Linked DNA regions of Caenorhabditis elegans. The protein of the gene in region 1 interacts with the protein of each later gene in a pairwise test. Each region holds a gene or a part of one and is shown in the gene's direction. Other genes may lie near its edges. The genes, in order: haao-1 and mrt-2.

Region 1 (16,071 bases):
CTGGTGGGGTTGGTTACGAACTGTTTCAATTTTTGGGTTTTGCAGAATTCTATTAACATTGTGCCTAATCGGGTATCAGATTGTGGATCTTGCCCACTCCAATTAATACTGCTAACATTCAAATCTCCTAGTATAACAATTTGACCCGGGTGATCGGTTATGTCTTCGAGCTTATTCAACAAAGTCACAGTATCATGAAAAGATGCGGTTGGAGGCCTATATATGTTTACTATGCGTAGTGGAGTGACATTGACGTTGACATCTAAGACCAATATTTCGAAAGCTTTGCGTTTCGATTCTGCAAGAACCACACTACAGCTTATACTATTTTTTACTAGAGTACATACTCCGCCGCCCCTTTGTTCATCTGGACGATCTGCACGGTAAACCTGGTAGTTTTTATTATTGAAAATAGAGTTTTGCGTTTTACTTGTAAGCCATGTTTCTTGCAAGCAGACTAAGTCATGTTCATTTGTGGTCAATTCCCCCATTAGTTCTAATCGATTAGCATTAACAGATCTTATATTGGCACATAGTACATTTAATTTGAGGCCTGGGATTGGGGAACAATTTAATTTTGAGAATAAAAAACCTTTAGAATACACGCTCAGTTTTTTGGGACGTTCTTAGCGGGCTGCATAATAGAGACTCGAGGTGGTTGGTTCTGCGTGGAGTTATGTGAAGGATTTTTGTTTACACGTGAACTATTGTTGGTGTGCATGGCGGTGGGTTGGGAATTGGTGGGTTGGAGTGATGTGGATTGACGGAATTTGATGCGGTTTTCTCTAAATTAAAAACAAAGTGTGACATTCAAGCATTGATTGAAGAAAAGCTGGATGTTCTGGTGACTTAAACATTTTCAATGGTTATTCTGGTTTGCTCATGGTCAAACTTCATAATAAATTCAAATCTTCTCAAACTTTGATCGCTCTATGTTCATGTGAACCTTTGGATTGCACAGCTTCATTTAATGATCTGAACAATCTAAATCCAAAACAGACAAACAAGAAAGTTAATCGTCAGTCTCCCGCCCATTCACATTGTAAAATGCTCAAAGTAATTGGTGAGAGAGCAATTGAATTATTAGAGACACAGACAACACACGTTTTTTACACTTTCTGACGGGTCCATAGGATGCGGAAGGGTCGTTTTCTCTGCTCATTTCATTGCTTGTTGATTCTGGTGGTCAACAAAAAAGTTCTAAACTACAATGGGAGGAACATCCTTGGATCCAGCATTGGCCGAGATTGGAAAGAAGAACGGGCTTCTTGTTTGGAGAATTAATGTACGTTTTGTAGTCAATGGAGTAACATTTACAGTGTCAAATCTAGTCTGAACTACGGTACAGTCACAATTATTTCCTAATATTTTAAGTGAAATATTCTGAAATATATTACAAATGTTGTGTGTTCAAAATTAGTTGTCATTGGAAGTGGTCTATAGTTTTAAAATCTTGCACTGTCATCAACAAACTAATATCTTACTCATCCTACGTTTAAACCCTTGAACTTTGAAATGTGTCATATCAAGTTGTTTGTGTCAAAAATATTCCCCAATATCTTCTTTATCCTCCCCACGTATCTATCAGTTCCAATGTTTCGCAATTTCAGAAATTTGTGTTGGAGCCGGTCCCCGAGGTTGATCATGGTGTGTTTTACATTGGAGACGCCTACATTGCACTCTACGTATGTTTTCCTATAGAACAGAATATATGAAAAGAGATGGTTACAGCAAAAGTACGATGGATGTTGGGATGTTCATTTCTGGCTTGGAAAGAATGCATCGACTGATGAAATTGGAGTTGCAGCAATCAAGACTGTAGAGATTGACGATGTAAGAAATGCTTCTAGAAAGTTTTAAAATTTGATTGTTTCAGTCTCTCGGTGGAATTCCAACCCAACATCGTGAAATTCAAAACTACGAATCTCCTCTCTTCTTGTCCTATTTCCCTGACGGAATTCGTTATGTATCTGGTGGTTATGAATCTGGATACCGTCATGTAGACGATCAGTTCAAAAACTGGAAACCTCATTTGTTCCATTGTAAGGGAAAACGAAATGTGAGATGCACGGAGGTAAGGAAAAATAAATAGAAGATAAGAGACATTGAAAGCACACAGAATACAATTCTAGGTGGAATGTGAAGTGAATTCTCTTAATTTGGGAGATGTATTCATTTTGGATCTGGGAAAGGATCTTTATGTTTGGATGCCACCAGAGAGTGGAAGACTTGAAAGAATCAAGGGAATGGCTCGTGCCAAGAATATTGCTGATCATGAAAGAATGGGAATCCCGAAAGTTCATATTCTTGATGATGTTGAATGGGATAATGATTCAACATTCTGGAGTTATTTTGGTGGGGTTTCGTCCGTTAGGAAGGTGTCAAAGGGAAAAGATGACGATGATAACTACTGGAAAAGACTTACGGAGCAAATTACACTTTGGAAGTAAGACAATTTTGAAATTTGACTGGAATTTAAGGGAATTTATTTAACCTATTGAAAATTGATTTATTTCAGAGTTTCCGACGCATCTGGTGCTGCTAAAGTTAGCATGGTTTCTCAAGGCGAAAATATTCGAAAAGAGCAACTTGATCCCAAGGTGAGTTGCCGAATCAGTTTAATTGAAACAATTTTATTTTAATTCAGGATGCCTTCATTCTTGATGCAATTAATGGTGGAATCTTCGTCTGGATTGGACATGAATGTACTCTTGAAGAAAGATCGAAGGCTCTTATTTGGGGGCAGAACTATTTGAAACAGCATGTATGATAATTATTTTATTTCGAAAATAATTCCTTTCACATTTCAGCATCTTCCCCGCTGGACACAAGTTACTAGAGTTCTCGAATCAGCTGAATCTACTCAATTCACCCAATGGTTCCGTGATTGGGTTGATGAGAAAAAGAAGAACACATTCACTCCACTCCTTTTCCAAGTTGGTTTGATGCAATGAGCAATTTTCAGATTGAAGTTTCAGGTTTCCGATGAAAGCGGTCTTCTTCATGTTGAGGAAATTGCAAACTTCACTCAAGAAGATCTTGATGGAGATGATGTCATGATCTTGGATGCTTTGAATTCCATCTACGTTTGGGTTGGAGCAAATGCTAATGCAAATGAGAAGAAAGAAGCATTAAACACTGCAAAGTTGTACTTGGAAAAAGATAAGTTGCCACGTCACAAGAAAACAGCTATTGACACGATCTTCCAAGGAAAAGAACCACCAACTTTCAAGAAATTCTTCCCATCCTGGGACGATAATTTGTTCAAGAATGTAAGTAATTAAATACTCTTATGAAAACAAAAAATATCATGAGCTAACATATTGTATTTCAGGAAGTTCGATCCGTGCAGAACATGCGTCGCCTTCTCTTCCACTAATTAAACTTTTTTAATTTTAATTTTTCATTGTATCTTATAATGTTTCTACATTTCTAATGTAATTTAAAATGACTCATTGAAATAATAAACACTGCCTGATCATAACTTTTTACAAAATAAGTGAAGGGGTACATCAGAAGATCGTAGCTAATAGATCTTTATCAGCTCCTCGGTCTGCCCCACAACCATCGTATTTCGTCGTTTTCTTCTGAGAAAAAGTGAAAACGTGTCATTTTTATGTATCGTTTTCATTCAGAGCTTCCACTCTTCCTTTTCTACATCATCGACCTTGAAATCCTGTGAAAGAACTGTTCAGAACACACTGCTGGGTCTCCATGGCTACACTGATTTCAATCTGAATCTGATATGTCTTGTGAACATTTACACAAACATATGTTGGACGAAGAAAAATAAACTGCTGAAAGAATTAAGAAGGAAGCTATATACAGAGAAATCGAAACGTGCGAAGCGTGAATATTTTCCCGAGACGGAACAATATGAAAATCGGAAAAGTGTCGGGCATTTGCAATACAAGGCTGAGGGGGAGAACGTGAAAAATCTCTGAACGCATTGTTCCCTATAGAAGAATTATTCTCAATTTCATGCAAATATGTCATTGTGTTTTCTTGATTTAACTTTTTTAATTTTATTTTTATCGTCCTATACCGTGATTCAGCCTTTCAGACAATCCTCTCCTTCACTAACTCTTGGGAAAAAGAATTGTTCTGATTCTAATATTATTTCAAATAAATAAAAATTGAAAAATTAGCGAAAGTAAATTACAAATAAGTTAAACATTTTTGGCGAGAAAAACTTTGAATTATTTGAACTTTCTAATCTTCAAAACTTCAGGAACTCGTTTACACTACACTTTGAACGTTATCCAAAACGAATAACTTTCCTAGTATAACCATTGTGAGGAAGATCAGAGACCTGTTGTTTGAAGACAGGGAACGTAGAAAGTAAACAGTCCGCTTTTAAATCTGATGTTTTCATAAGAGATCTATGATCTTTGAAGCTTAAAAAGTGATTGCAGAGATTCCTTAGAAGAGTATATAATCGGTAGTTCTAGATCGGCGCCGGAGTTGGACCGCCGTTAACCGAAAGTTTTAAACTTTAATGCCAATCTTAGGTGCCTTTGGAATATTGAAGTTATTACGAAGTTATAGAAATCGAATTATTTCTGCGTTTTTTTATAATTATTTTTTAAGACTGAAATCTTCAAAATAGGGCTGACAAACCGGATGTCTGGTTTTTCTGAATCCATGTTCCGAGTTTTCATTTCACGTTCCAGTTTTTTTCTAATTTTGAATACATAATAGTGTGCAATTATTGTAACTAGACAGATATCATAGGAACTGTCTAAAAAATTATTTTAAAAATTTTGTAGCACCCCAAAACCAGGCACCTGATTCTTCAGAACCCGGAAACCGGACGTCCGGTTTAGTCCGGTTCGCCAGCATTACTTTAAAATAAAAACTAATATTTTCATTGCAGTTTTAGTTAATTAAGGAGTTCTACTGCTCAATCAATTGATATTCAATTAAGGAGAGAACAGTGCAACTTATTGGCGATCACTTTTAAGTTTGAAAGTTTGAAAAAACCGGAAAGTGAATGAGATTCTTGACTACCTTCACCTCTTATCCAAACCATCGCAACGTCGAGATAATTGTCTAATAAACATTTGAAGCTGCTAATCTACTCTCGAATCTTTAATTAACCTTCAACTTCATTCAAAATGTCCTTCCTGTATGGTGTAATAAAGTACGTCAGCAATCTTTATAGTCTCCATTAAGCACATGAATTTTATCTCATTTTTTCATTTGGGTCCCACCTCTTATTCTCCTATATGTCCGGTTCACCTTCTTTTTCCTCATCCTTCTCTCATTCTCTAACCCTTTCTAGCCAACATCTAACAGTCCGTCTTCTTCCCATTTGACTGGCGGCTAAGTATTCAGATGCAAAGCCGAGATATGGGGCGTCAAAAAGAAAAGAATAAGCCTTCGATTGCAGAAGTACATAGCCTTTTTCCATGCATTTCATTATGTTTCTTTTTCTCATGTTTCAATTCAATTATTGATTATTCCCTTTCCAATTATTTGAAATATTTAACTAAAATTATTTTAGAATGGAGATCGACTTGGGTACGGTCTCTGCCTCTCGGCTCTTTGCCATGTATACATCAAATCTTGTCTGGTCATTATTTCTAACCTCTACAGCTCTTCATGCAGTTGCTTTAATTACTAGTCCAGTGTAAGTAACTTTTTTTCTAGATATAATCTTGGCAGATTGTCGAAACTGTCCTATAAACTTTATTCACTTCCGTGGGAGGCAGATTAAATGTGGTTAAAATTAGCTGGGAACAAAAGAAAAACGTCGAATATCAATAACAAATGTGTTTCGAAAAGTCCACAATATCTATTTTACATTCAAAATATAATTTTATCTTAACAAAACTGGTAAATTTAAAAGAAAATAGTTAAAAGTATTTAAATTTCAGTCAAGCTGTTCATAAATGGGTACGAAGGCAAAGCAGTGACAGTGATACTCCCATTCCATACATTTGTGCAGTTATTGGGTAAGAGTTTGCCCTAAACATTTATTTATTATTATTTAAAGGAAAATTAAGTATATTCTAAAGAAAAAAAAAACAAAAAAGTTGGACAAGAATGTGAAATCTAACTCTACAGAAAAAAACAGTTTTCCAACTCGTGCTAGTCTCCCAGTCTGATTTTATTTATTTTTACCAGAATATGAAACCAATCAGTGCTCACTTAGTTTTTTGGTATTCAAGTAATTTTTCGAAATGTATTTTAATACACTTCTGACACCACGAATGTATCAAAATATATGTTTTTGGTTACTTAAATAAGGCAAAATGTGTGTACTTAAATACACTTTTTAGTTTTCCGACTTTTTACTTTGTACGTTGTTTATTTTTTGTGATATTCCAGTACTTCGAACTTGACAAAATCTAAAAAAGTGGTACGACTGCACACGTTTTTGAGTTGTGTTCATAGGATATAAATAAAAAACAACAAAGAAATGCTCATAGTTGTACAAAGTTCAACTTAAGTTGTAGTTGTACTAGTAACTTGTCTAATTCTCACCATTTTACTTTACCACCTTCACCGCAATCAAGATCAGTTTTTCTTTGAAATATGAGATGTCCTTCATGAATTTTCTTAGAAGATCATGAGTAGTTTGGCAGCGTAAACAATATGAAAAATTCCCTTCACCTCTATCAGATTTGCATTTACGTAAAGAAATACGGTTTTGGTAGATACCATCTTTTGCCATCTAGCTTCCATTTATTGCATCTAATAAAAAACAATTTTGAAGTGAAACGTTACTTTATTTCTTCATTAACTTTCTCAAGCTTATTTGGAAATTGTCGATCCATCTCCATCTTCAGCTCTCATGTTTTCTTATATCATTCATTACACTCTTTAAGCCTTGTTCCAACAGAACTATAACGTTTCAAACCTACACTTTTCAATAGAATAATTGTCACTCTGCCAATTTCGTAGCTTGTAGCTTGGGCATTAAATAACGAACATTTGGGAAACTTTTTTTGAATTCGCAGTCGACATCTATCAAGATCCTATATAGGCCAATCACGTCCCAAATATATCATATTGTGTTTCTCTTAAATATGAAGTACTGTATCGAGAGAGCATTTGCTCCATGAATACTGCAATATGGCATAGTCGGATCACCGTTTCAAAGCCAGGGCACAATTTTTTCTGCCTCTCTTTTTATTCCGACTCTCCGATATTGCAGTATTCAGTTCACAAAATAAACTGGATTACTGTAATGGTTCTGTAATTGCTGCTATAATAAAACTGTACAACGAATTCCAAAAGTTTCAGGTCTGCACTATGGCTTCGGTATTCAATATTTCTTCGGGACACAAAGCTTATCCTTTTGCAGACATATGCAGTTTCAATGCAACTATTCTTCGTGATTGCACTCATTTTCTACCGTACCAAAAGAGTATTTATATTTGGATCTTGTTCTTTTTAAATATTTGTTTTTAATTTCAGCGAAAGTTAATTCGTCTAATGACTGGAATTGCAGCTGCTCTGTCTTTACTCTTCTTGTACATTGGTAATATGAATGATGAAGACGGGAAAGAAGTGAGTGTCTGCGTCCCTTTTTCTTATATACACTCTCATTTCTCTATGTCTCTTTCAGTTCACTGGCCGCATCGCATCTGGCGCTCAAATTGCTGGGTCTCTGGTCTGTCCGTATCTAATAGTAAGTACTAGTTACCCGTTTAGCCGTCGGGGGTATAGCTCAGGGGTAGAGCGCTCGCTTCGCATGCGAGAAGTCTGGGGTTCAATTCCCCATACCTCCAAATTTCATTTTGCAGTACAAAGCAGTAACATCGAAATGTATAGATTTTGTACCCCTGGCTCCAGTGGTCTTCACGTGGGTAATGGAGCTCCACGCGATCGTTTATAGTATTGGTATTGATGATTTTTACATGCTGGTTTGTTCGGAATTTTTTAACTGTTATCAAATCAAAGGGTCACATTTTCGACGTGGCCTAGAAAGATCTAAAACTCGGTCGGCGGTTTATCTTTAATTTTCACAGGTTCTTTCTGAACACTCTGAAGATTGAGAGTAATGTACTTAAAATAGTTTTTCTATTGGTTTTTCGGAGAAGATTTCTTGAGATAGTTCTTAATAACGTGGCACCAGGCTGACCCATTACGGTTTGATCTACAAAAAATGCGGGAAATTTTTTGCCCAAAAAAATGTGACGTCAGCACGCTCTTAACCATGCTAAATCAGTAGAGAAGTCAGCGTCTAATTTCCCGCAATTCTCGTAGATCTACGTTGATCAAACCGACATGGGACAGCCTGACACCACGTGTAAATTCAACTTTTTGAAAGTGACCGAGTTTTCTCAGTTTCTAGGCCACGCTTCATTCTTGAAAATTCGTTGCTTTTAGATGTAAAACACTAACTTCAAGTATGTGGACAATTTTTTGCACCAATAAATGTGTTAAGATAATCCTAAATTCAATTTTACAACTTTTCAGTTAGCCAACGTGATCTTCTTCTGTATGGATGGTTCACTTCTCTCGATGTTCTTCGTGTATCCAACGGAAAAAAAGAAGAAAAATTTGAAATCGTCACCAATTCCAACAGTCATGTAACCCAGAATGCTTCGTGTTTTGGTCAAAGCATCTCAGGTTTTCTATCAATTTTCTCTCCAACACCAATTTAATGTTGCTTCTCTCTCCTCCTCCCACTCCCAATTCTCAATTTTTCGAAATAAACGGGTACCAGTTCCTTAAGACGGTCAAACATTTATCATTAATCAAGAATTGAAAAGCGACACTTGAATCAGCGAAGAATAAGCAAATCACGGAGATTTAGATACGAGAATAAGAAAAATGTAAAAAAGACACAAAAAACGGAAATAAGAAGAAGAAGATGGGCGAAATTAAGAAGATGTGACATTGCACGTTTATCATTTCGTCGCGTTAATCGGACATTAACACCGCTTTGTCTCAACCACATACAATTTTTTGAAAAATTTCGGTTTTTTGTGGGTGATTTAGTCTATGTTACTGTAATCGAATTGACAAATTCTTCGATCGTCTATGACTTTAGCTTTATAATTTAGGTTAGAAAAAGAGAAGTTTCGGAGATGGAATGTGTCAACTTATGTTCCAAAAAACCCAATAAACTGCAATATTTATATGAGAAATATAAACTGAAGGTAAGAAGAATGGCAGGTTATATTATTAATTGGTGTATATGAAAGAAGGTCATTCGTTTATTATATTATCTATTCTTAATCTCTTTTATTACATCCAAACCTTTTAGAGACTCTCTGAACATTCTATTGAATTCGAAATTTTCATCTGGGGATTACTGTACTTAGCTCATAATCGTATCAATTCCTGAACACACTCACTGCCGTTCTCAAAATTATGTAAATTTTCATATTCTCTTTATGGCATCTGAGGATTATTTTTATGGCTTAAAATCAATTTTTGGCAACTTGACTACTTACAAAATGTGTTCTCATGCATAACTTTGTAATAGGTGGGTACGAATGCTTTGTTCCTTTGAACTTCAAAGCGTTCCCAAGAACGCCTTGTATTGGTATTTCTCGACGATTTATTGTCCGTTTCTCGTTTCTTGTGATAATTATAGAGGTCAAAATGTCACTTTTACTTGCCATTCATATATTCCAGTCTTTTTTCAATTTCAACCCGATCTCTCAGTTCTCTACCAATTCGTCTTGAGCTAATTCCCTTGTCAATCGATGAGTTGCTTCACCTCCACTAAATTATTCATTTCGCATCAGGAGCAAGTAGTCTGTACGACTTCCGTTTCTACCGAAGAGCAACAGAAGCCTCAACTCAAACTGGCAGAACCACCTGTGATAACAATGAGCGGAGTTACTGCAATTGAGATTCCACAATGGATTCAAGATAATCAAGAGGATTTTGTACCACCTGTTTGTAACAAGTGTATGTTCTCGGATCAGTTGAAAGTTTTCTACGTTGGAGGACCAAATCAAAGAAAAGATTTTCATTTGGAAGAAGGAGAAGAGTTTTTCTTCCAGAGAAAAGGGGATATGGTACTGAAAGTGATTGAAAAGGGTCAAGTCCGTGATCTAGTAATCAAGCAAGGTAGGATTCATCACAAAATTTATTTTTGAATTTGTAAATTAATTAATTAATAACACAAACTCACATGGTTTCTTAGATAACTTTTTAACTAGCTTTTTAAATTAAAATTCCATGAACAAAAAATTTAGACTGAAAATTGAGAATTTTTCACAATTTATAAACGGAAACTAAATCTGTGTTGTCAAAAATTTTTTGGAATTATTTTTTTCACAAATGTTAGATAATCTGAATCAAAACTCAAAATTGAGCTCTCTATTTTTCAGGGGAAATGTTCATGTTGCCAGCAAGAGTAGAACATTCACCTCAAAGATTTTCCAACTCTATTGGTCTTGTCGTTGAACGTGAACGAAAGAATACTGAATTTGATTGTGTTCGATTTCTTGTTGGTTCTTCCAATATCACACTCTTTGAAAGATGGTTCTATTTGACTGATGTTGTCAAGGATTTACCTCCATTAATCAAAGAATTTTATGGATCGAATGAATTCAAAACTGGTTGGTTTGTAGTTGTGTGAGCTCACCGATTTTTTGTTTCAGGTAAACCAGGAAAAGGAACATTTGCATGCAATGCTCCATACGAAGCAAGATGGACTGATTTACCCGTACCTATTAATAGAAAAGAATTTATCTATGATCATATCAGTGAAGTGAAGTAAGAAATTAGTTGGTTTTGTTTCGGATAGTTAATTTGAGAAGTTTTCAGAAACGGACCAGTGAGAATTTATGGAGCACCTGAGTACAAAACTGAAGTTATGTTGCTAGGAGAGGGATCTTATGATTTGGAAAGTGGAACTGTAGAGTTGCTAATTTGGTTGCAGGTATGGCAAAAACAGAAAAATCCCAAAAAAAATTCATGTATCATTTAGGAAAACACATTTGCGGTCGTAGAAGAGAGCGGGTTCACTTATGCAATGAAATCGGAGACCATGGTTAGGATAAAACCGAACACAAAGTAAGAATACGGAATTATAGGTTCTTTGAAATAATTTTGTTTTAGGTGTCTTCTTAATGTCAAAGGAGGATTTGCTATCACCATCAGAATGCCAGCATAATTTTTTTTTTCAATTTTGTAAAAGTCAATTTCCATATAGGCTGATTGAATGAATGCTTTTTTCAATATTTCTATCTTTATTCCAAAATGTAATTTCAATTTTGATTTATAACAAAATGAATGACATGCAATCGTGGCCAACTGATAACATCAATTCCGTTTCATTATCATCGATGTCAAATGTCTCGTGTAACACACGCTGTCGGTTCAGCAAAACCATCATGTTCTTCAAAGCTTCAGAAAATTTGTACTTTCAGACCTCGTTGTTCGTTTCAGGAAATTATGTCACTGTAAAAACTGTAAAATTGGTTAAAAATACAAAGAATCCAATTTTTGTTTTGTAGTTAGTTTACATAACTATTTTTAGTATGATTTCTATTTCATTAGAAAAAAAAACGTTAACTCATTCCGAAAATTTTTTAGCAGAAAAATAATAAATGCCTTTTAGCCGTAATTTTCAAAGGGGTTGTTTTTAAATTTGATGGGGAAGATTGAAAATAATAACTTAAAATAACTTCTCGGTTGGAAAAAAACTATAATTTAGAAAATGTTCACAATACCTCATTTTTTACTGTCAAATCGTCACGAGAACTTTGATTGTTGAAATTTGGCCAGTACTTCCTTGTTTTGAGCATCTTTTTAATATGATCAATGACGTACAATCCAAGTTTCAGATCTTTAAAAACATCTGATTACGATTACAGATCTTTTATTTTATTGTTCATAGCCCATTTTTCGTTTTGCAACCCTTATCATTAATATGCCCTTTTTGTGTACATTTATTCTTTTTCTTTCGTTGTCTTCATTGAGTATTAACTGAAATTGTCTAGGATTATGAGCATCGGAAACTGAAATGATAAGTATTTCCCGCGCTCATGTGGTTTTTTTTTTAATTTTCTAACGGTTTTTCCTCAACAGTTGAATCAATGTTATAAATTGCCAAAAAACAAAGACTACAATAAATGGACCACATTATAACGTCTAAGCACTGTAGTTTTCCTATTTACTATTATCAACTGTCGTCTTTATCAGTCTCTATCTTTTTCTAAATTGACCTTCGGCCACACTGTAGGCTACCCATGCTGTCCTCTTGCCCAGTTCTTATATTTTGATTGTTATTGCTAAATTCATTTATTTTTCAAACTTCAGCCATGCCACACGACTCTACATATCCACCAGTGAAGATTTCCGAGCGTCCGTACCATGAGATGCTCCTTGATGCAATTGATAAAACAATTGCCGATGGAAAGAATAAAATTGCATTTGTGAGCGGAGATAATCCAAAACATTTCATTACTTTTGAACAACTTCGTAAGGATGCTTTTGCTGTCGCTATGTATCTTCATAGCATTGGGTTCAAGGTATGTGGCATTATGTTAAAAATTTGGGAATTTTATAATTCAACAAGAGAAAGGAAGTATTTCAAAAATCTTTCAATTTGTTCAAGACAATGCCTTAAATTTTTGATATCTTTTAGAAAGATGTTGCTGCTGTTGTTCTTCCAAACGTCTGGCACTATACTTCATTTTTCATTGGATGTGCCATCAACGGTGGAGCTGTATCTGGAGCTAGTGCACTTTTCACTGACTGTAAGTTAAATTGATGAAAGTTACTTTCACCAACCCGCAATTTCTGTTTTCAGATGAGCTTCAACGTCAATTTGTTGATTCTCGCGCAAAGGTTGTTTTTACTTACGAAGATTTTCTTCCAAAAGTTCTTCTTGCTGTGAAGCAATCGCCAAACATCCAAAAGATCATTGTCATCCCAAAACCAGTTGGATCTTCTCTTCCAGCAGGAGTTGTATCTTGGAATGAAGTGGTTTCAACTCCAGTCACTGCTCTACCACAAGTTCCAATTGATGTTCACAATGATTTACTCGTTCTTCCATACTCGAGTGGTACCACTGGACCACCAAAGGGTGTTATGCTATCACACTACAATTTTACATCCATGATCTCCATGTATCTTGCGTAAGTTTGAAATTTAAAGATGATGATGATGAGACAGAATAGGTGTGAAAGTACAAAGTTAACAGTAAAATGGTTACACTTTAACCTTCCTATGACGCAAAAAAAGATAAGGGCCAAGAAAACAATTTCATAGATCAATACAGAAGAATCAGTATAACGTTATGTACATTTTTTGAAAAGTAATTGAAAAAAAACGAAAATATAATTAGGTTCATATACGACACAACTTTCAGAATTGATAAATCACACATTTTGGATGTTCTTGATCCAAATTGGGACTGCTACAATGAGAAAGCTCTCTTGTTTCTTCCATTCTATCATGTCTATGGATTTGGTCTTCTTAATCACTGTCTTCTCAAGGGAATGACTGGAATTGTCATGAGCCATTTTGAGCCGAATAATTTTTTGACTGCCGTTCAAAACTACAAAGTATAGAATCAAAAGTTCATAAATAACATTTTTAATTTAATTCTTTAGGTCCGCTGTCTTTGCCTAGTTCCACCAATTATGGTTTTCTTGGCCAAGCATCCAATTTGCGATAAGTTTGATCTATCATCAGTGCAAATGATAATGGCGGGAGCAGCTCCAGCTGGAAAGGATTTGATTGAAGAATTGAAGAGGAAGTATACAAATTTGAAATACATCCAACAAGGATATGGAATGACGGAATGTTCAATGGCTAGTCATCTTCCTGATTTAAGAAATGATCAACCATATGGATCCGTTGGAAAACTTGCTTCAAATTTGGTTATGAAGGTGAGAATTTCCGAATCAAGTTTTTCAATGTTTAAAAGGAAACAAAAGTATTCAATTTATACAAAAGTTATTCAGATTGTGGAACCAGGAACCGACAGAGAGCAACCGGTTAACCAACGAGGAGAAATTTGTGTTCGTGGTCCAACAATTATGCTTGGGTATCTCGGAAGACCAGAAGCAACAGCCAGCACTGTCATCGATGGATGGCTTCACACTGGAGACATTGGTTATCTCAATGAGGATGGAAATTTGTTTATTGTTGATCGACTTAAAGAGCTAATCAAGGTCAAAGGGCTTCAAGTACCACCAGCTGAACTTGAAGATCTTCTTCTATCTCATCCAAAGATTAGAGATTGTGCAGTTATTGGAATCCCAGATGCTAAAGCTGGAGAATTACCTAAAGCATTTGTTGTAAGAGCTGATAACACTCTCACTGAACAAGAAGTTAAGGACTTTGTTAAACGTAAGTTATGAATAGTGCATTTTCTGTATAACTATAATACTTTCAGCAAAAGTGTCTCCTTACAAACAACTCGAAGGTGGTGTCGAATTTATTGAAGAAATTCCAAAGTCCGCAGCTGGAAAGATTTTGAGACGATTCTTGAGAGATCGTTCTTCAGCCAAGCTTTAAATGTTTTTTTGTACATTAACTTTATTGATATTAATTTTTCATGGTTTTTTCTCAAAGTAATTGAATGATTATACAGGAGTAGAACAAACATTACAAGTAACTGGGCAAGCATATTCAATACGTAGCTTATCATCAGTTTCACAAAGTCCTGAAGATTTATAATCGGCACAGTTTGACAAACGATCCACACAACTTCCGGCTTGCTTTCCACAAAATCCACAAGAAGACGCACAATTGTATTTCATGATTGCTTTTTGAGAACTAACTGATGTACAAAGATCAAGAGTTTTGAACAAATCACAGTTTGGATGAAGATCACGGCATTGGCAGAAGATGAGTGGAAAAATAATGGAAACTAGAAGAAATACAGGAAAAATCATTGATGGTTGAAATAGCAGAAGAGGAAAATGGGAATAGTTGGTTGAGAATATGAAGTTGACTATCGGAACATGGGAATGGAAAAAAATATGTTCATGTGAAAATAAATTGCCCTTATGCAAATAGTTTTATTCATGACTTTTACTAGTAAGTGAACAGCTGAATATGTACAGATTGCTCAAAGGTATAGCTTAGATATTGTGAAAAATGTTAAAAGTACTCTTTTGATTTTGACGTGGCCATATATCGTTGTAAACCATGTAATATTAGTCTAAATGACAGTCAAAAAGTGGCGTTTTGATTTATCAAGTCGGCAAGAGTATATTTTTTAAAAACATTTCTGTAAATGTTATATTCTTATAATGTTTTACATTATTTATATCTAAAAATTCTAGAGACACTCTTGAGGGTTTTTCAAAAGTCCAAATTTTTCAAAAATTTGGCAATTTGACTGGACATTTTAAAAACGAAAGCATTTAGGATATTTTTTGTAGTCGAAAAAAAAGTACAAATTTTGTAAATTGTTTAACCAGGATATTTGGATTTTTCAAACTCAAAACTTAAAATTTACAAAATTTACAAAATTCGATTATTTCGAAAAAGTGTTTATGAAAATCCCCACTGATGACCTTTATGATGATGTGATTTTGAAGAGTTTGGAAGAAAATAGTAGTATTTATACTTATTTTTTCCATGTGTTCTTATTCAATGATTGCCTACGATCTTAACTTACCTATGATCTTTTGAATATGTTTATATATGCTCTGCTTGTTTTACTTATGATATCCCATCATTTGATCTTACGCATATTGTGAGCTGCTACGTGTTTCTTCAGCAAGAGCATTCATTTGATGTTTAACCTCATCAAATTTCTCGCATGCTTCGTTTTTACAATTGGTTCCTAAATTTTTTAGTAAGTTTCTTGCAAAGATTATTAAATCGTTATGGTTGGCGTAATTTCAAAACTTGATTCTGTAAGATATTTATGTAGTCCTAAATTACAATATTAAAACGAATCTTCCGAGCGGTTTGATGATCTTAGAGTTGATGACGGTACTGTTAGCTTTGAAAATTCACTGAACCGAGCAGAAGCATGCTATAATGTGAACCGTACCGTATTATGCATGTACAAAAATAAAAGCAGTCTACACCTAAGCTCATTTTATACATAAATATTACTCACTACTCGTTGATGAATGAATTTTGATGGTCAGTAGTCTGGAAGTAATGGTGTTCAGAAAAATTTAA
Region 2 (17,309 bases), on another chromosome or scaffold:
CCGGAACTTACAGATATTTTAAAAAGAAAAATTATAATTTTTTGAGAATCCAAAAACTGTCCGTTTGAAAAAAATTTTGGAAAATTAGATAATTTTTTTAATATTTTCCAAAATATTTTTTTGTTAAAACTTCCAGTTTTCAGTCAATTTAAACAATTTTAAATTGAATACGATTGACTAAAGTTTTTTGAAATATATATTTAAAAACTTACAATTAGAATTCGGAAATTTATTCGTTTCATGAATGTATCTAGCCTCTAAACACAAAAAAAGCAACACTTTTTTTTGAAATTCTAAATTCTCAAGTATTGGTCGAAAATGTGACCACTACCTCCTATTGTGAAGGACAAATCTTCTGTGAGAGAGAGATAGAGAGTGCTCAGAGATACAGAGAACAAATCGAACAGTTCCCCTCCGATCGAACAAACAAAATAAAAAGGAGGTACACGAATCTTGTCTGTTTATTTTATTTTTTGTATATATATTGCCACGTCATCACCCGGTCCTCCAATAAAAGTTTCGAGGTGACTGTCATGGTTGAATAGGTTTTATGGAAATTGGAGATGACGTGGTTTTTTTTTGACAAAAATTGGGTAGAAAATTGTTTGAAAAAGATTCAGAAAATTATTTTAAAAATCTGGAAATTCAAAAAATTTCGGAAAAAAATTAATATTTCTTGAAAATTAGAAATTTGGAAGTATTTAAGTTATACAATTTTTAAGGCAAATTTCCAAATTTTTCCAGACAAAATGTAGAAATTACTGAAAAAAATTCCACTTTTTTTCTGAAAAAATGTCTAAACAGTTAAAAAAAAGCCAATTCCAGGAATTTTTTCAAAGTCCAGAAAAATAAGGTAAATTCAATTTAAAAAATGTTTGAAAAAACTGAAATTTCTATAAAACTTCCAACAAAAAATATTGGGAAATTGCCACGTGGTGTCAGGCTGTCCCATAACGGTTTGATCTACAAAAAATGCGGGAATTTTTCGCCCAAAAAATGTGACGTCAGCACGGTCTTAACCATGCAAAATCAGTTGAGAACTCTGCCGCATTTTTGTAGATCAACGTAGATCAAACCGAAATGGGACACTCTGACACCACGTGAAATTGTTAAAAATTCAAACAAAAAAAAATTACTTGTTCGATAAGCGTTTCTGAATTTTCTGAAAATTATAGAAATTTAAATTTTTTTCTGAGAAATCTGATCTGAGATATTTCAAAAAGCTTTGAAATTAACAAAAAAAAAGTCTAAAAAAGCACCAAAAACAATATCATTGGTATTTTTTGAGCCCGTAAAGCACAATGTTTTTGCCAGAAAACGTGGGCGGAGCCTACGTTCTCTTGTTGGAATTGCTGTTTAAGAATGCATTGCACGATGTGCCGGTGTTTGGACATTTGGATTTTTTTTCCCAATTTTTCGCCCAATTTACACGGCTCTAAAATAGATTTCTTCTGTCTCTCAGAGTAGAAACGAACACAAATTTTTCGAATGAATTTTAGATTATGAAGTACTTGTTTCAAAGTGAATTTTCAAAAAATCTGAAATTCTAGCTAAAAATTCATCTAAAATCCGTTTAAAAAACGAATAAAAAAAAAAGAGAACAAGAGATCAGCCGAAAAAAATGTAAAGAAAGAGAAAAAAAGGAAAATAAATTGAGGAATTTCAAAAGAAAAAAATGATTCAGAAGAACAACGAGAGGGAAAAGTGAAAGGACTCCCGCCTCTCCCCAGCCGGGGGGCTATTATGAGAGGAAAACTTGTGGCAGGAAACTGATGAGAGGTCGTTTTTGTTTGGAAAGAAAAATGAGTGATTTTGAGTCGGAAATGGGAGAATTCTTTGGTTTTTACTCCTATTTGGAGAGTTATTTGCTATATTTTAATAGAAATTTATTTTTAAAAAATTCAATATTTGCGCGTAAAAGACTGTAAAATTACGGTTTGATCTACAACGAATGCGGGAATTTTTGCCCAAAAAAATGTGACGTCAGCACGTTCCTAACCATACAAAATCAGTTGAGAACTCTGCCGCATTTTTTGTAGATCTACGTGGATCAAACATAAATGAGACACTCTGACACCACGTGTGCACACCGGAGTACACTAGATTTGACGCGCAAAATAGAATAAATAAAATCCGGGTTTTCCTGAGGCTCGAAGCAATAACAAAAGCGTTCGAAAAACGCTTTTTTTTAGCATTTTCTATTTTCAAAACCCAAAGTTTCCTCGAGTTTTTCCAATTTTATTCCCATTTTTCTAGTACTATTCTTTCTTTGCCTCTTGAAAAGAAGACATATTCATTTCGCAAGAATTTCGATGTCAAGGGTAGGATGTTGAAGGTCGTATTGGGTGAATCATTGAGGTATAGGATGAGATTGTAAACATTTTTAAATAGATTGTAGAAATTTTTAAGTTTTTTGAATCTTGTGGGGGCTAGTAAAATCTGTTTTTAATAAATTTTAACGAACATTTTTTATTTTCTTCATGAAAACTATCACAGGTACACAAAATTCTGAGAATGCGTATTGCACAACATATTTGACGCGCAAAATATCTTGTAGCGAAATCTACAGTAATTCTTTAAATGACTACTGTTGCGCTTGTGTCAATTTACGGTCTCGATTTTCGAAATTGATTAAAATCATTCATTTATCTATACACATAGTGTCAGGCTGTCCCATTACGGTTTGATCTACAAAAAATGCGGGAATTTTTTGCAGAAAAAAATGTGACGTCAGCACGTTCTTAACCATGCGAAATCAGTCGAGAACTTTGCCCGCATTTTTTGTAGATCTACGTAGATCAAACCGAAATGGGACACTCTGACTTGTTTTATGCTAGAATCCTGCAAAATCATGTGAAAATTTAGCTATTTTTAAAGAAAAATAGCCTAAAATGACCGATTTTCCGCAAAAAAAGGCTCAAGAACATTTTTAAGTACAGTAACCTTAAAGGCGCATACCCAAAATCGCTACTTCGGCACGTAAATCGACTGCAGTATCCATTTAAAGGATTACTGCAGTTTTCGCTACGAGACATTTTGCGCGTCAAGTATGTTGTGCAATACGCATTCTCAGAATTTCAAATTTTCTTGAATAAAAACCAAAAAAATCAATACAACAAAACCCAAAATCTGGTGTGTTGCTGGTAGTATTCTCTGAAGAGTAAACTGGCGGGATCTACTTTCACTAAAAGCTTTTTTCGTCCGAAATCCCAAATCCAATTACATTTACTCCTCATCCCCGCCAGCGCCACGTCACATCGCCTTAACTAAATTTTAATTTTAATTTGGAAATTTTCAAGTCTGATATCCGTGCCCCGGGTGCAAGAAAAGTACTTTTGTAGATTAATTCTGGCCACCCGGACCGGTCAAATTCAATGACGAGACTTGAGAGAGAGTGTGTGGGATTTGAGAGACGCAGAGAATAAGAACGAATGGGGGATAATTGTCCACCTCGAGAATTATTGTGTACGCGCGGAAAACTGGATATGTTTCTTTTTCAGGGGTTTTTTAAGAAGGATATTTGATGGGACAATGGAGAAAAATCGGGAAAAAGGGATTTACAACTGGAAAATTCAAATTTTGCGCGTCAAATCTGGTGCATTGAATTTTTCGCGCTCCATTGACAATCTCCTGCCGGAAAGGACATTTTCCACGTGGAGTACACGGAACGTGGCCTAGAAAACTTTTCTCGGGTTTTCACGGGGTTCTGGCCTTCCTCATTGCATTTTTTGTACTCCACGCGGACAAATGCATTTAGTTTTACAACTAAAATCGAGCCGCGACGCGACACGCAACGCGCCGTAAATCTATCCCAGATATGGCCGAGCCAAAATGGCCTAGTTCGGCAAACTCTTCCATTTCAATTTATGAGGGAAGCCAGAACTCCGTGTCTGCAGAACCTAAAGATTTTTAACTCAAAATTGTAGAAATTAGGCTAAAATTGCACTTCAAGCTGAAATTTAAAAAAGGAATGCACTAGATTTGACGCACAAACGTTAGAAAATTTGAATTTCTCGGGTAGTGCAAAGAATTGTTAAGTTGAAAAAAATGCATCAGATTTGACGCGCAAATCTTGAAATATTTGCTGACATTGAGTTTTCACAGTTTTTTTTTAAATAAATTAAAGTTTTGATTACTTTTGATTAAATTTTTCGAATATTTTGTCTGAAAGTTTCACGTGATGTCAGAGTGTCTCATTTCGGCTTGATCTACGTAGATCTACGAAAATGCGGGAGTTGAGACGCAGAGTTTTCAACTGATTTCGCATGGTTAAGAACGTGCTGACGTCACATTTTGTTGGGCAAAAAATGCCCGCGTTTTTGTAGATCAAACCGTAATGGGACAGCCTGGCACCACGTGAAATTCCAGAAAAAATGTCTGAACCTACTGTAGTTCACAATTTAAAGGCGCATACCAAAAAATTATAGCGGGAATTAAATTTTTATTTAATAATTTTTTCAGTTACAGAGCAATTAAAAAATTCAATTTCATCAAAATTTTATAGACCAATTTTCTCGCTTTATAGCTGAGCTCCGCGAGCCAAAATAGGAAGGGGAGCACGAAAAAAAAACAGAAAAATGAGCTCGACAGAGCCCATAGCCTCAAGCGCTAACGAACCAAAAAATGCACACACACACAGGAGGCGGAGTCGTGGAAATTTCGAAAAAAAAAACAAGATTTTCTTCTCTCTCGGCTCAAATTTGAATGCGGAGCAAGAATATTACGGGAACAAAAAATTCTGAGAATGCGTACTGCACAACATATTTGACGCGCAAAATATCTCGTTGCGAAAAGCAAACTACAGTGATTCTTTAAATGACATTTGTAGTGTCGATTTACGGGATCTCGATTTTCGAAATGAATTCATTTATCATTGATCGAGCCCGTAAATCGACACACGCACTACAGTAGTAATTTAAAGGGTTACTGTAGTTTTGTTTTCGCTACGAGATATTTTGTGCGTCAAATATGTTGCCCAATACGCATTCTCAGGATTTTTTGTTAGCGTAATAAAATAACAGAAAACACAGAAAAAGGCATGAAATTTAATTTGAAATACCGCGCTGAGTTTTCTAGGCCACGTGTCGTGTACTCCCCGTGGACAAGCGGTTTTTGCCTTATTTTTCTGAAGTACAAATTCTCAAGTACAAGTAAAAAAGTACAAATTTTACCAAATTTGAGGAAAAGAACTAGCATGACAAAAATAGAATTAGAAAAATTCTAGAGAAAAACTACGGATTTCTGGCTTCCCTCATAAAATGAAATGGAAGAGTTTGCCGAACTAGGCCATTTTGGCTCAGCCATATCTGGAGTAGATTTACGGCGCGTTCCGTGTCGCGGCTCGATTTTAGTTGTAAAACTAAATGAATTTGTCCGTGTGGAGTACACGACTTTACCACGCGTTGTCCGGCAGGCGATTGTCAATGGAGCGCGAAAAATTCAATGCACCAGATTTGACGCGCAAAATTTGAATTTTCAAGTTGTAAATCCCTTTTTTCTTCCCATTGTCCCATCAAATATCCTTCTTCAAAAAAACCCCTGCGTCTCTCAGGCCATATCTGCGGTAGATTTACGGCGCGTTGCGTGTCGCGTCGCGGCTCGATTTTAGTTGTCTGGCGGGCGATTATCAATGAAGCGCGAATAAATCAATGAGGAAGGCCAGAACCCCGTGAAGATCCAAGAAAAGTTTTCTAGGCCACGTTCCGTGTACTCCACGTGGAAAATGTCCTTTCCGGCAGGAGATTGTCAATGGAGCGCGAAAAATTCAATGCACCAGATTTGACCACGCGTCGTGTACTCCACGTGGAAAATGTGGACACTAGGGATCTACTAAATGCCTGGAAAATCGTAAAAATCTCGAAACTTCCTAAAGAAAAAAAAAGCAAATACACAAAAACGCATTGATGTATGAACAAATTGCCCTCCCCGTCTCCCACCAAAAACTCCCAAAAATTGCTCTTTTTTCATGTTTATATGGGGGACCGCGGGATTTCATAATAGCTCCGTGGTCCGCTCAGCTCATCCGGAGCCAAAAAGAGCACACACACACACGCACACATAAAAGTTGTAAACTAGTTTCGAGCAAAAATGATACGACGGATGAGTGTGTCACGCAATCAGTGAGCTTCTCTCGCTTTCGAAAGAAAAATCTTTTTCGCAAAAAGAAAAAGTACTTTACACTGGCCACAGTGTAAAATAAGGGTGAAAAGATCGAAAATCGGAGGTTTCAAATTTGAATTTCCGCGCAAATGAGAGGGACGAGGTGCGATGGCCTACAAAACTCCGCAGGTGTACTCCTCTCGGAAAACGGTGCGAGAATTAATTTTTTAATTTATATTTAATTTTCAGCGATTTTTCTCAGTTTTCCGGTTAAAATTTAAATTTTTTCAGGAAAAATGATGGAATTAGAAACGGGTCAATGCACAATTATGGAATTGAAAAAAGAAAATGTGAAGGAGCTCGCGCAGGTCTTCAAAACCGTCGCTTTTAAGGATGTTAGTGTTGGAAAATATCGATATTAATTTCATTTTTTTTGAGAAAAAATCTAAATTTTTCAATTTTCCAGACAGGAACGTGGCACGCTTCCGAGGCGGGCATGAAGATCACAGTCGACGATGGATCCTATCAGCTGGCCAGCGTTTTTATCAATCCGGCGTTCTTCTCGAGTTTTAAAGTTCGCGAGGAGATAGTTTCGATGAAAATCTCGATTAAATCGATTTCTGTGAGCCTTTAAAAGCCCATAAAAGCCCAAAAAAGTGGCAAAAAACAAAAAAATTCCAGGAATTCCTGAGCATTTCGGAAAACTCGTCGAGTTCTGTAAAAGTCTCGTATCCGGGAATGTTTCAGCCTGTGAAAATGCTTGTTGAAGACGCAGACGGATGGGTGGCACGTGGCAATTTTACAACAACGCTGGCAGATCAAGTTCGCCGGGTTTTCGAAATTCCTAGATTTTTTTTTGTCTATTTTTAGGAGCTCGACTTTGAATTCGATGACGCTGGTGTGCTGGCGACCTATCTGCTTAAAACTCAAGTTCTCAAGGAGATTATCAAGGTTTTATCATTGAAACCTTTAAACATTCGAAAAAAATTTATTAAACTCCAGACATTTTCCAAAAAAAATTTTTTTTTTTGGATTTTCGAAAAAAATGTTTTTTTTTTGAAATTAAATAAAAAACTTTTTTTTTTACTTTTTTAGTGAAAAAACAAAAAAAATCGGTTTCCCTTCAGAAAAATCGGTGTTTTTCGGTTTTTTTCATATTTTAAAACATTTTCTGAATTTTTTTTTTGACTTTTTGGAAAAAAATTTTTTTTTGGATTTTTTCAAAATGAAATAAAAAACTACTCGAATGTCGCAAAAACAAAAAAATTTCTTTTTGTTCTGACAGATTAACATTTTTTGGTTTTTTTCGACTCCAAAAAAAAATTTCTGAAAAAATTAGCTTTTTTGAAAAAAAAACCATTTTTTTTTAAATTTTTTAGTCGAAAAACGAAAAAAAAAATCGGTTTCCCTTCAGAAAATTATTGTTTTTGGGTTTTTTCCCACATTTTAAAACATTTTCTGAAAAAAAACTTTTTTTCGACTTTTTTGAAAAAAAATTTTTCGGTTTTTCCGATTTTCTAATTTTTCAACAAAAAAAGACGAAAAAAACCAGAAAATTCCGAATTTTAGAGCCAAAAACGAACATTTTCCGTTTTTCAATTTTGAAAAAAAAAACGTTTTATTTTTATTTTTCGATACTTTTTTGTCGAAAAACGAAAAAAAATGTTTTCCGTTCAGAAAAATCGGTGTTTTTTGGTCTGTTTTTCATATTTTAAAACATTTTCTGAAAAAAATTTTTTTTTCGAATTTTTCATTACTTTTCAAAAAAAAAATCCGTTTTTGATTGAAAAAACCTTGATATTTTTCCGATTTTCTAATTTTTCAAAATTAAAAAAAACCAAAAAAAAAATCCGAAAATTCCGACTTTTTGAGCTAAAAACGAAAATTTTCCGTTTTCAATTTTGGAAAAAAAATTTTACTTGAAAATTCGATTTTCGCTTAAAAAGTAGTTTTTATTGTTTCAATTTTTCGAAAATAAAAAAAAATCGATTAAATTGCAGAATTTCCAACCCAAACCCAAAAAAATCGACGTCCAATACTTATGATTTGACGCGCAAATTCTAAAATTCAAATAAAAATTCTTATTTTTGCATTAAAAAAATACGAATTTTTAATTTTTTTTCTCTATTTCAGGACTTCGATGACACAAGCCGAACGGTGAGAATTCAATTCACCAAGAATTCACTGTGTTTCACGACTTTCGGTGATGTTGGCGAGACTACAGTAGGATTTTTCAAATTGAAAATTAAATAAATTTTAGGAAATTAAAAAGAAAAAAATTTTAATTTTTTAACTCAAAAAAAAAAAAAAAAAATTGTTTTGAAAAAATATTTTTTAAAAAATTAAAACCAAATTTTTTATACTTTCAGGTATCAATACCGTCTCGAAGCCTTCAAATGGAAAGTGTAAAGTGCCTTGAAGAAGTTGAATTTAGCTATCTTCTGTCGCTTATTCAACGAATGACTACCGCCTTTATACTGGCTACAAAGGTAGTTTCTGGAAAGAAATTTAGCCTATCTGCTAGATTTTTCCTAGTTAAAGTTATCATGGTTCCAGGAAAAATTCATTAAAAATATGAAAAAATTGGGGGAAAAAAAAAATTTTTTTCGAAATTTTTTGAAAAAAATCTGAAAAAATTTGTGAAAATTATTTTCACTATAATTTTTAATTTAAAAAATTGAGCCGATTTTTTTAGAAAAATAAATTTATTTGTGAAAAAATTAATTTTCCTTTCGAAAAATATTTCGATTTTTGAAAATTTTTTTAAATTTGAAAAAAAAAATTTTCATTTTTTTTTCAAAAACAGAAAAAAATTTCGAAAAAAATAAATAAAATGTCTAAAGCATTTTTAACGATTTTTCCAATTTTGCAACAAAAAATATCAACATTTTTCCGTTTTTTTCCCCGAAAAAAAACCCCAAAAACTCCAAAATTGGCCAAAAAAATCGAAAAATAAATTAAAACGTTATGCTCCAAATCAAATTTTAGTTTCAAAAATCGAGAAAAAATTAGAAAAAATGTTTTTCTTCGAAATTTTTTTTTCAATTTTCTAAAAAAAAATGTCTCGAATTTTTTGATGCAAACTTTACAATTTAAGTTTTTTCCAGCTCATCCTCCGTGTCGACGAGCGTGGCGTCCTCTCCTGTCAATTTTCAATCGATCACGGCGAGGGAAACGCAAGCTACATTGAATTTCTGACGGTGCCCGCTGATGAAGAAGAATAAAATATTATATACATTTTTAATTTTTTTTTAATGTTCGATCCCCGAGTTTTGCAACAAGTGTACCCTCATCTCCCGGGTATAAAAACCCGAAAAACTGCACCGAAACGCACGCAAAAAAAATTAATATTTTCTTCTTTTTCGTGCTTCTTGCAATTCTCGCTGTTGATTTAAATTTTCAAATAAATATTGATTTTTATTACGAATATTGCATTTTGAAATGAGAAAAATTTTTAAAAATTGGGTTTTTTTTCAGTGAGTGTCTCGTCGAATAAAATGCTCGGTACGTAGTACACCGTCACGTCAAAATACACAGAATCGTGGATTTTTTTCAAAAAAAAAACAAGGATTTCTGGCTTCCCTCATAAATTGAAATGGAAGAGTTTTTGCCGAACTAAGCCATTTTGGCTCAGCCATATCTGGGGTAGATTTACGGCGCGTTGCGTGTCGCGTCGCGGCTCGATAGTAAAACTAAATGTATTTATCCGTGTGGAGTACACGACACTTTCCCATGCGTTGCCCGTCGGGCGATTGTCAATGGAGCGCAAAAAATGCAATGAGGAAGGCCAGAACCCCCTGAAAAATCGATGTGTTTTTAGGATTTCTTCAAATTCTAATTAATTTTTAGAGTTTTTTGCCGGCAATATTATGTGGAAAATGAATGCAAAACTTCTTGTAGCCCTAAAAATCCCCAAGTTTGTGTATTTTTAAAGAAAATTAAAGTCTCCTGCCGAAATTTTCAATAAATATTGATTTTTATTACGAATATTGGATTTTGCAGTGAGAAAATGGGGTTTTTTTTTTGCAAAAAGACTCCGTAATTGTTGGAAAAAAGACATATTACAGGAACACAAATTTCTGAGAATTGCGTACTACACAACATATTTGACGCGCAAAATATCTCGTAGCGAAAAGAAAACCACAGTAATTATTTAAATGATTACTGTAGGGCTTGTGCAGATTCACGGGCTCGTTATTCGGAATTAATTAAAATTATTTAGGGATCGATTAAGCAAAAAATTCCTTCGAAAATCAAGCTAGTAAATCGACGCTACAGTAGTCATTTAAAGAATTACTGTAGTTTTCGCTACGAGATATTTCGCGCGTAAAATATGTTGTGCAATACGCATTCTCAAAATTTTGTGTACCCGTAATACCTCAAATCGTTCATTTTCGCCTAATTTCTGCTTTTCTCAAAAAATTTGAATTTTCCGCTAATAGATTTCTTAGAAACTTTGAATTTTCCACCAGAATCCCGCTCTAAAATGTGGAAAAATCTTTTAAAAAACGTGGTTTTCATTACTCAAAAAAAAAAAATTTGAATCGAAAGAAAAATGAAATAAATAATAATAATAATAATAAAACTTTCTCGGGGTGGGGGTGGAGGGACTTGCACGCATAATAAATACAAGAAGCAGTAAATGGGGAAGGGGAGGAAATTTCAGGAAAAAAAAATTAAAAAAGGGGAACCATAGGACACACAAATCATTCTAACCCAAGTTATTCGACTATTTCTGTGCTGAAATTTCAAAATTTTCAGATTTTTTCGGGGGGATTTACTTATTTAATTTAAAAAAATGGATGGAGGGGGAATCGCGGAGAACATTCAATTATCACAATGCAAAAAAAAATTAGATTTTAATTTTTTTTTAAATTAAGGCTTCTCCTGTTGGCTCGGATTGTAGGGAATCGGGGTGAAATACGGAGAATCTGCTGACGTTGTTGTTGGAGCAGATGGAGCAAGAGCAGGAGCATTCTGAAAAAAAAAAATTGTTGAAAATTTTGTGTCAATTAGGCCAATTAGCTAATTTTTTAAATAAAATTGTGCAGTTTTGGGCCAAAAAATAAAATAAAGTAAATTTTGGCAAAAAAAATTGATGTTTCTTTGGAATTTCTCTCAATTTTTGGCTAAAAGTGTGAAATTTTTTGGCTTTTTGCCAATTTTTAGCTCAAAACTTCAATTTTTTCTTAAAATTTATCAATTTCGAGCTAAAAATCTCGCTTTTTCCAGTATTTTTCCACGAATTCTCACATTTTGTGGCGGAGTGTACACATGGGTGAATGCACTGTTCACTGATGGTGCAACAATCGGATGATAAGCTGGATGAGCCGGCAGTGGAAGAGGATTCGCCACCGAATACTGCAAAAAATTGGGGTTTTTGGTGGAATTTTTGGGGGTTTTTTGCAGGTGAAAATTGAAGATTTTGTCGAAAATTCAATTTTTCACTAGAATTTTTCAAAAAAAAAAAAAATTCAAAAAAAATTGGATTTTTGGCTTAAACTTTGCGAATTTTCACTGGAAATTTTGATTTTTTCGAGTAAAAAATGCGAAATACATTTTCGAGAGAGAATTAGAGCCAAAACGTTTTTTTTTTCAAATTTTTGCTGAAAAATCAGATTTTCTAGTTAAAATATACGTTTTGCAATCTAAAATTTGTAATTTTTTGTGATAAAAACCAAGTTTTCACAGAAAAATGTGATTTTTGTCTGGTTTTTTCAGGGAAAATTCCAATTTTTCCAAAAATCCAGGACTATACCTGTCCGTGAACACTGGGACTCGTTGGATTTACTGGGTGCTGCTGTTGTTGCTGTTGCTGCTGTTGATAGTGCTGATATTGATTGGCTGAAAAAAAAGGAAATTTAGCCCAAAATTCGAAAAATACTGAAAATTTTGATGCAAAAAACGTATAAAAATTATTTTATACCATTTTTCTTCAAGAAAAATTAGAAAAAATCAAGGAAATAATTCAAAAAACCATTTTTTTCTTTAAAAATTCAAAAACTTCACAATTTTATCACTAAAAAAATTTCCAGGGCCAGTTTTCGCTCAATTTTTCGATTTTTTGCCTAAAAAAATCCCAATTTTATACCATTTCTTTTTTAATTTGGAAAATGGAAAAAAAAATTGTTCCAAAAAATTCAAAAAACCGTTCCAGTGCCAGTTTTTGCTCGATTTTTCGACTTTTTCCCTAAAAAAATCCCAATTTTCTACCATAATGCTCTGCATATTGCTGTTGTTGGTGTGCATATTGTTGCTGATAGTATGCCGCGTGTTCTGGTGAATATGCATATTGTTGCTGCTGTTGCTGCTGTTGTTGGGGATAGTTCTGGAAATTTTTGGAAATTAAAAAAAATCGAAAAATTTCAAATTTCGTGAATAATTTTAGTGGGAAAAACATTTTTTTTTCGATACTTTTTTTCGATTTTGCCAAAAAAATTCAATTTATTTGAAATTTTAAAACATTTCCTTAAATGTTTTAACGTAAAAAACTGCATTTTTCTTGAAAAATTTGTCAATTTTCAGCTAAAAATTCGAATTTTTCAAAAATGGGTCAACTTTAGGCTAAAAATTCGATTTTTTTCAATTTTTGGCTAGAATTATCAGTTTTTTTTTCGAAACATTGCTCAATTTTGAGCTAAAAATTCGATTTTTTTTTTTCAATTTTTACCTGATTATACTGCTGATATTGCTGTGCAGCCGCTGCCTGCTGCTGTCGATATTGCTCATATTGTTGGTGCTCCGAATGTTGGTGTTGCGGGGGACTTGAAGCTGGTGGCTCAGTTTGTGGTGGTGAGCCAATTGGTGATGTTGGTCCCGAGTGAACAATTACTTCAGTCTGCAAAAAAAAAAATTTCGAAAAAAATTTTTTTTTTTGAGAGAAATTTGTGGAATTCAAAAATTTTTGAAGATTTTCGGATTGTTACAGGAAAAAAAAAATCGAATTTTTGAAAATTTCTTGGCATTGAGACCAAATATCTTTAAAAAATTCGAATTCTCCGCCGAAAATTTTTTCTCAGAAAATTTGAATTTCCCTGCAATTTTTCAGCGGGAAATTTAAATTTTGAGAAAAAAAACAATATTTTTTTCAGAAAATTTGAAGCTCCCACCAAATTTTTTTAGTTGAATTTTCCGTTAAAACAGTATGTGAAATATTTCAAATTTCCCGCCAATTTTTTTTGAGGTAAAATATTTTTTTAAAGAAGTGCAAGTATATAACTGAATTTAGTGAAAATCTAATTTTTTCAAAATTTTCAAATTTTCCGTGAAAAAACTATGGCGGGAAATTTAAATTTTGAGAAAAAACAATTTTTTTTTCAAAAAAATTGAATCTCCCAATGTTTTTTTAAATTTGAATTTTCTGTTAAAACTTTATTTGAAAAATTGCAAATTTTCCGCCAAAATATTATTCTGGCGAAAAATTCATTTTTGAGCATTTTCAATTAAAACAAACGTCAGTTCTCTGATTTTTCATGGAATTTTTAATTTTTTTCAGGTCTTCAAACAAAATATCTCAATTTTTGAGGCACTACTGGGCCCCCAAACTACTGACCAATGGATGTTGTATTGGAATCGGAGCACTAATTCCAGCATCTTCTGGACATGTAACAAGTGGTCCAACAACAGATGAAGCTGTCGAAATTGAAGATTGTGCAGTAGCGATCGAAGGATCAGATGTTGAAGTGGCGGCTGTTGAGTTGGATGATGGTGGTGGTGGCTGCAATTTTTCTAGTTGAAAAAAAACTTTTCCTAGTTAAAAATTGGCCGTTTCCAGCTTAATTTATAATTTTATTTTAAAATTTTCGTTCCGGTAATTTTTTGTTTAATTTTGTGATGTCTTGGGTATAAAAAAAGGCGAAAACATCAGTGTTAATTTCTCAATTTTTGAAAAAATCTCGATTTGGATTAATCATGTTTTTTTTCGAATGTACGTCCTTTTTTTTTTAAAGAGCTCAATTTTTTCTCTGCTTTAAACACCAATCAAAAATCGAAAAATTTCGATTTTTCGGTATTCTGGATCGGAAAATTTTTTATTTTTCGAAAAATAAGTAATTCCAGTTTTTTAAAATATTTTTAAAAAAATTTAATGCTCAAAATTTCAGGGAATTTCTCTATTTCTATGTTTATTTTTAATTTTTTTCGTTGAAATATTCGAAATTTCGAAGAATACATATATTTCCGGAGATTTTGACCGGGAATTTTGACCGAGAGAAAAAGAAATCGAAAATTGACCGAAAATCATCTTTTTTTTTTCTGATTTTTCAGTAAAAAAAAATTCTCGAGCACCTCAAGCCCAGAAGCATGCTCCTTCTTCGGCTCCGACGCTTCCGACTGCTGCTGCCCTGGCCGTGGTGGATTCGGAATCGTATCCTTAATCAATTCGGGCATAAATTTGTTGAGCCTCTCCACAGTCACATCATAAAGCCGAGGTGTTGCAGCGAAAATTCCCGTACTATCCATAACGAGAAGCATATTTTTCAGCGATTCCGGCACTGCTTCATTCAAATTTCCACAGCTATCAACTCGAAGATATTGCTCCATATAGTCGAGCAGAAGCATCCAAAGATCCGGGAATGAATCAAGAGCCGACAGGGCTGAGAGATGATTTAAAAGAGTTTTCGCGACGATTTGAAGTGTCCGAACACGTGTATCCTCCATTCCAATCGGATCCATTTGAGAGAATGGCTCCAGAAGCTTAGTGAGCAATGGGAAGAGCACTTCTCCAAAGCATGATTGCCATTCTGCGGCTCCAAGAGTTGCCATATTTGCCGGCAGGAAGGCGCGCTGGAAAATTAGGGCTTTTTAGAGAGGAAATTGAGCTGAAAATCTGGAAAATTTCAGATTTTTTTTTCGAAAAAAAAAATTAATTTAGGGCTTTTTAGAAGGGAAATTTAGCTGAAAATCTGGAAAATTTCAGATTTTTTCTTGAAAAAAAAATTAATTTAGGGCTTTTTAGAGGGGAAATTGAGCTAAAAATCTGGAAACTTTCAGATTTTTTTTTGGAAAAAAAAAATTAATTTAGTGCTTTTTAGAAGGGAAATTGAGCTAAAAATCTGGAAAATTTCAGATTTTTTTGAATTTTTTCGTTGAAAAAATTGCTTTTTTCTTCAATTTTCAACTTTAGAAGCGAAAAATTACGATTTTTGTTAAATGGGAAAAGGTATGCGCCTTTAAAGAGTACTGTAGTTTTTCGATAAAAACGCATGTTTTTTATCACACAGACACAAGCTAATATACTCTGTTTGGCACTTGCTGGGCGAAATTTCGTGATTTCGGGTGTCGACACGACAAATTTGTGTTGTTTTCTGTTTAATGCAAAAAGATATGCGCCTGCGCCTTTAAAGGGGGTACTGTAGTTTCAAACGTTTGAAAAACCACAGTACCCTGTTTAAAGGCGCAAATCTTTTTGCATTTAACAACAAAAAAAAAAACACAAATTTGTCGTGTCGAGACCCGAAATCACGAAATTTTTATCGAAAAACTATGAAAACTCCAAAAAGTGAAATTAGAATTTTTTTTTCAACAAAAAAAAACTGAAAACCACAATTTATCGTGTTTTGCAGAAGAAAAAAAAAGAATTTTTCACTTCAAATTTTGAAAATTTCAAATAATTTGCATATTTTTTTCCGACAAAAAAAATCGTGCCTGCAAATGAGTCAACGCCGCCGCACGGACACCTCGTCGGCAATCACAGCTGAGCCGTCCAATTGCTTGGAGCAACGGGCGCCAGATATCTGTCCATATGAACGCGACAGTCGCCAGATCCGATGCAGCTGGAGATGCTCCTTGAGCCCACTTTGCAAAGATTGCCGGAGTTTGAGAATGGAGTTGGGAGCACAAGTCGAGCAGGTGGAGGGACATCTGGAAAATGAAAAAAAAATGGATATTTCATTAACTACACCTTTTTTCACAAATTTGAGGTTTTTTTTCGTTATTTTCAGTTTGTTAAAAACGTCAAAATTTTTGTGATTTTTTAGCAAAAAAAGCAGTTTTCTGTAGTAAAATTTTTCAGAAAATTCGCTTTTTTCTAGAAAAAAACGACAATTTTCATTCTTTTTTCGATGATTTTTTAAATCAAATTTTGGGATTTTTTGGGGAAAAAACAAGTCATTTTTTCTGGGTTTGGGCAAAATGAGCTCAATTTCAGTGGAACTCGCTGATTTTTTGAATTTTGTGGTAAAACCGTCGGAAAATCGCTTTAAAAGTCTAAAATTCGCAGAAAAAAGCTGCAAAAGTTCGCGCATTTTCTAGCTAAAACGACAATTTTCAAATTTTTCGACGAGATTTGTAACGATAAATTTCGAGAATTTTTTGAGAAAAATGGCAATTTTTGTGCAAAATGAGCGCAGATTTACTCAATTTCAGTGGAGAAAATGTGAAAATTCGCAATTTTTCAAAAATCCTCAGTTGTGGAAATTTGTTTTTTCTAATTTTCGGAAAATTTGTTTTTTTAATGTCAAAATTTCTCAATTTTTAAAAATTAAAAATTTTTCAAGAACAAAAATCTTAAATTTTCACATTTTTTGGGAAAAAAAGGACCAATTTTAAACGTTTTTTGTCAATTTTTGTCAATTATTTTCAAAAATGTTCTAGTTTTTTTAGCAAAAAAAGCATATTTCATAGCAAAAAGTGGCAATTTTCAAATTTTTTGACGATTCTTCTTATCAATTAAAAATTTTTGGGCAATTTTTTGTTGAGAAAAAGTCATTTTTTCAAGTTTTGGGCAAGATAGGAGCAGATTTGCTCAGTTTCTTTGGAGAAAATGTGCAAGCTAAATTCGCTGATTTTTCGCAATTTTTCGAAAATCCTCAAGTTGTGAGAAAAAAAATGCAAATTTTCGCGGAAATTTGTTTTTTTTTTTTCAATTTTAAAATTATTTCCGTTAAATTTCCACAATTTTTGAGCAAAAAGAGCCTAAATTTTGCTCAATTTCATCCAGTTTTTCTCGTCGAGCACCTGTTGATAATTCCCAATCAACTGTTGCTCTTCATTTCGGCTCTCGTCAGCATCTTCAGTAACATCCGTACACAATTCCTTCTTCTTATGCCCATGATGATGATGATGATGTTTCTTAACAGCTTTCTCATCTGTAACATTGCTCCTCAGCCGATTCTGAGCATCTCCACTCAATGGCCCAGCTGCGTAGACACCTCCATCCAGACTTGCTTCAACCATTGTTCGAAGGCATTGAAGGCTCGATTCAAAGTTGT

What was found.
Region 2: the proteins of haao-1 (region 1) and mrt-2 interact in a two-hybrid assay, tested with the Caenorhabditis elegans proteins (2 studies listed by BioGRID).

The regions. Positions count from the first base shown.
Region 1 is NC_003283.11:9,495,895-9,511,965, forward strand, and holds haao-1 (3-hydroxyanthranilate 3,4-dioxygenase), read left to right. Parts: upstream 1-9,015; 5' UTR 9,016-9,116; intron 9,117-9,710; 5' UTR 9,711-9,794; coding exon 9,795-10,038; intron 10,039-10,301; coding exon 10,302-10,532; intron 10,533-10,574; coding exon 10,575-10,689; intron 10,690-10,740; coding exon 10,741-10,855; intron 10,856-10,903; coding exon 10,904-10,989; intron 10,990-11,034; coding exon 11,035-11,089; 3' UTR 11,090-11,224; downstream 11,225-16,071. Other genes in the region: gsnl-1 (Gelsolin-like protein 1), read left to right, coding at 1,211-1,285, 1,611-1,685, 1,732-1,833, 1,877-2,074, 2,133-2,446, 2,519-2,600, 2,648-2,764, 2,811-2,936 and 2 more; swt-5 (Sugar transporter SWEET), read left to right, coding at 5,508-5,632, 5,880-5,957, 7,252-7,375, 7,426-7,518, 7,577-7,639, 7,755-7,874, 8,431-8,547; acs-14 (4-coumarate--CoA ligase), read left to right, coding at 12,240-12,449, 12,566-12,677, 12,731-13,058, 13,292-13,487, 13,536-13,814, 13,890-14,277, 14,324-14,445. UniProt on the Caenorhabditis elegans protein: Catalyzes the oxidative ring opening of 3-hydroxyanthranilate to 2-amino-3-carboxymuconate semialdehyde, which spontaneously cyclizes to quinolinate.
Region 2 is NC_003281.10:11,740,654-11,757,962, forward strand, and holds mrt-2 (Cell cycle checkpoint protein RAD1 homolog mrt-2), read left to right. Parts: upstream 1-6,112; 5' UTR 6,113-6,309; intron 6,310-6,390; 5' UTR 6,391-6,395; coding exon 6,396-6,494; intron 6,495-6,565; coding exon 6,566-6,721; intron 6,722-6,780; coding exon 6,781-6,921; intron 6,922-6,969; coding exon 6,970-7,050; intron 7,051-8,232; coding exon 8,233-8,322; intron 8,323-8,468; coding exon 8,469-8,588; intron 8,589-9,206; coding exon 9,207-9,323; 3' UTR 9,324-9,522; downstream 9,523-17,309. Other genes in the region: gbf-1 (Golgi-specific brefeldin A-resistance guanine nucleotide exchange factor 1 homolog), read right to left, coding at 10,975-11,076, 11,353-11,460, 11,858-11,943, 12,313-12,427, 12,770-12,937, 13,652-13,816, 14,386-14,883, 15,745-15,960 and 1 more. UniProt on the Caenorhabditis elegans protein: May be a component of the 9-1-1 cell-cycle checkpoint response complex that plays a major role in DNA repair. Promotes DNA double strand break-induced cell cycle arrest and apoptosis, thereby playing a role in genome stability.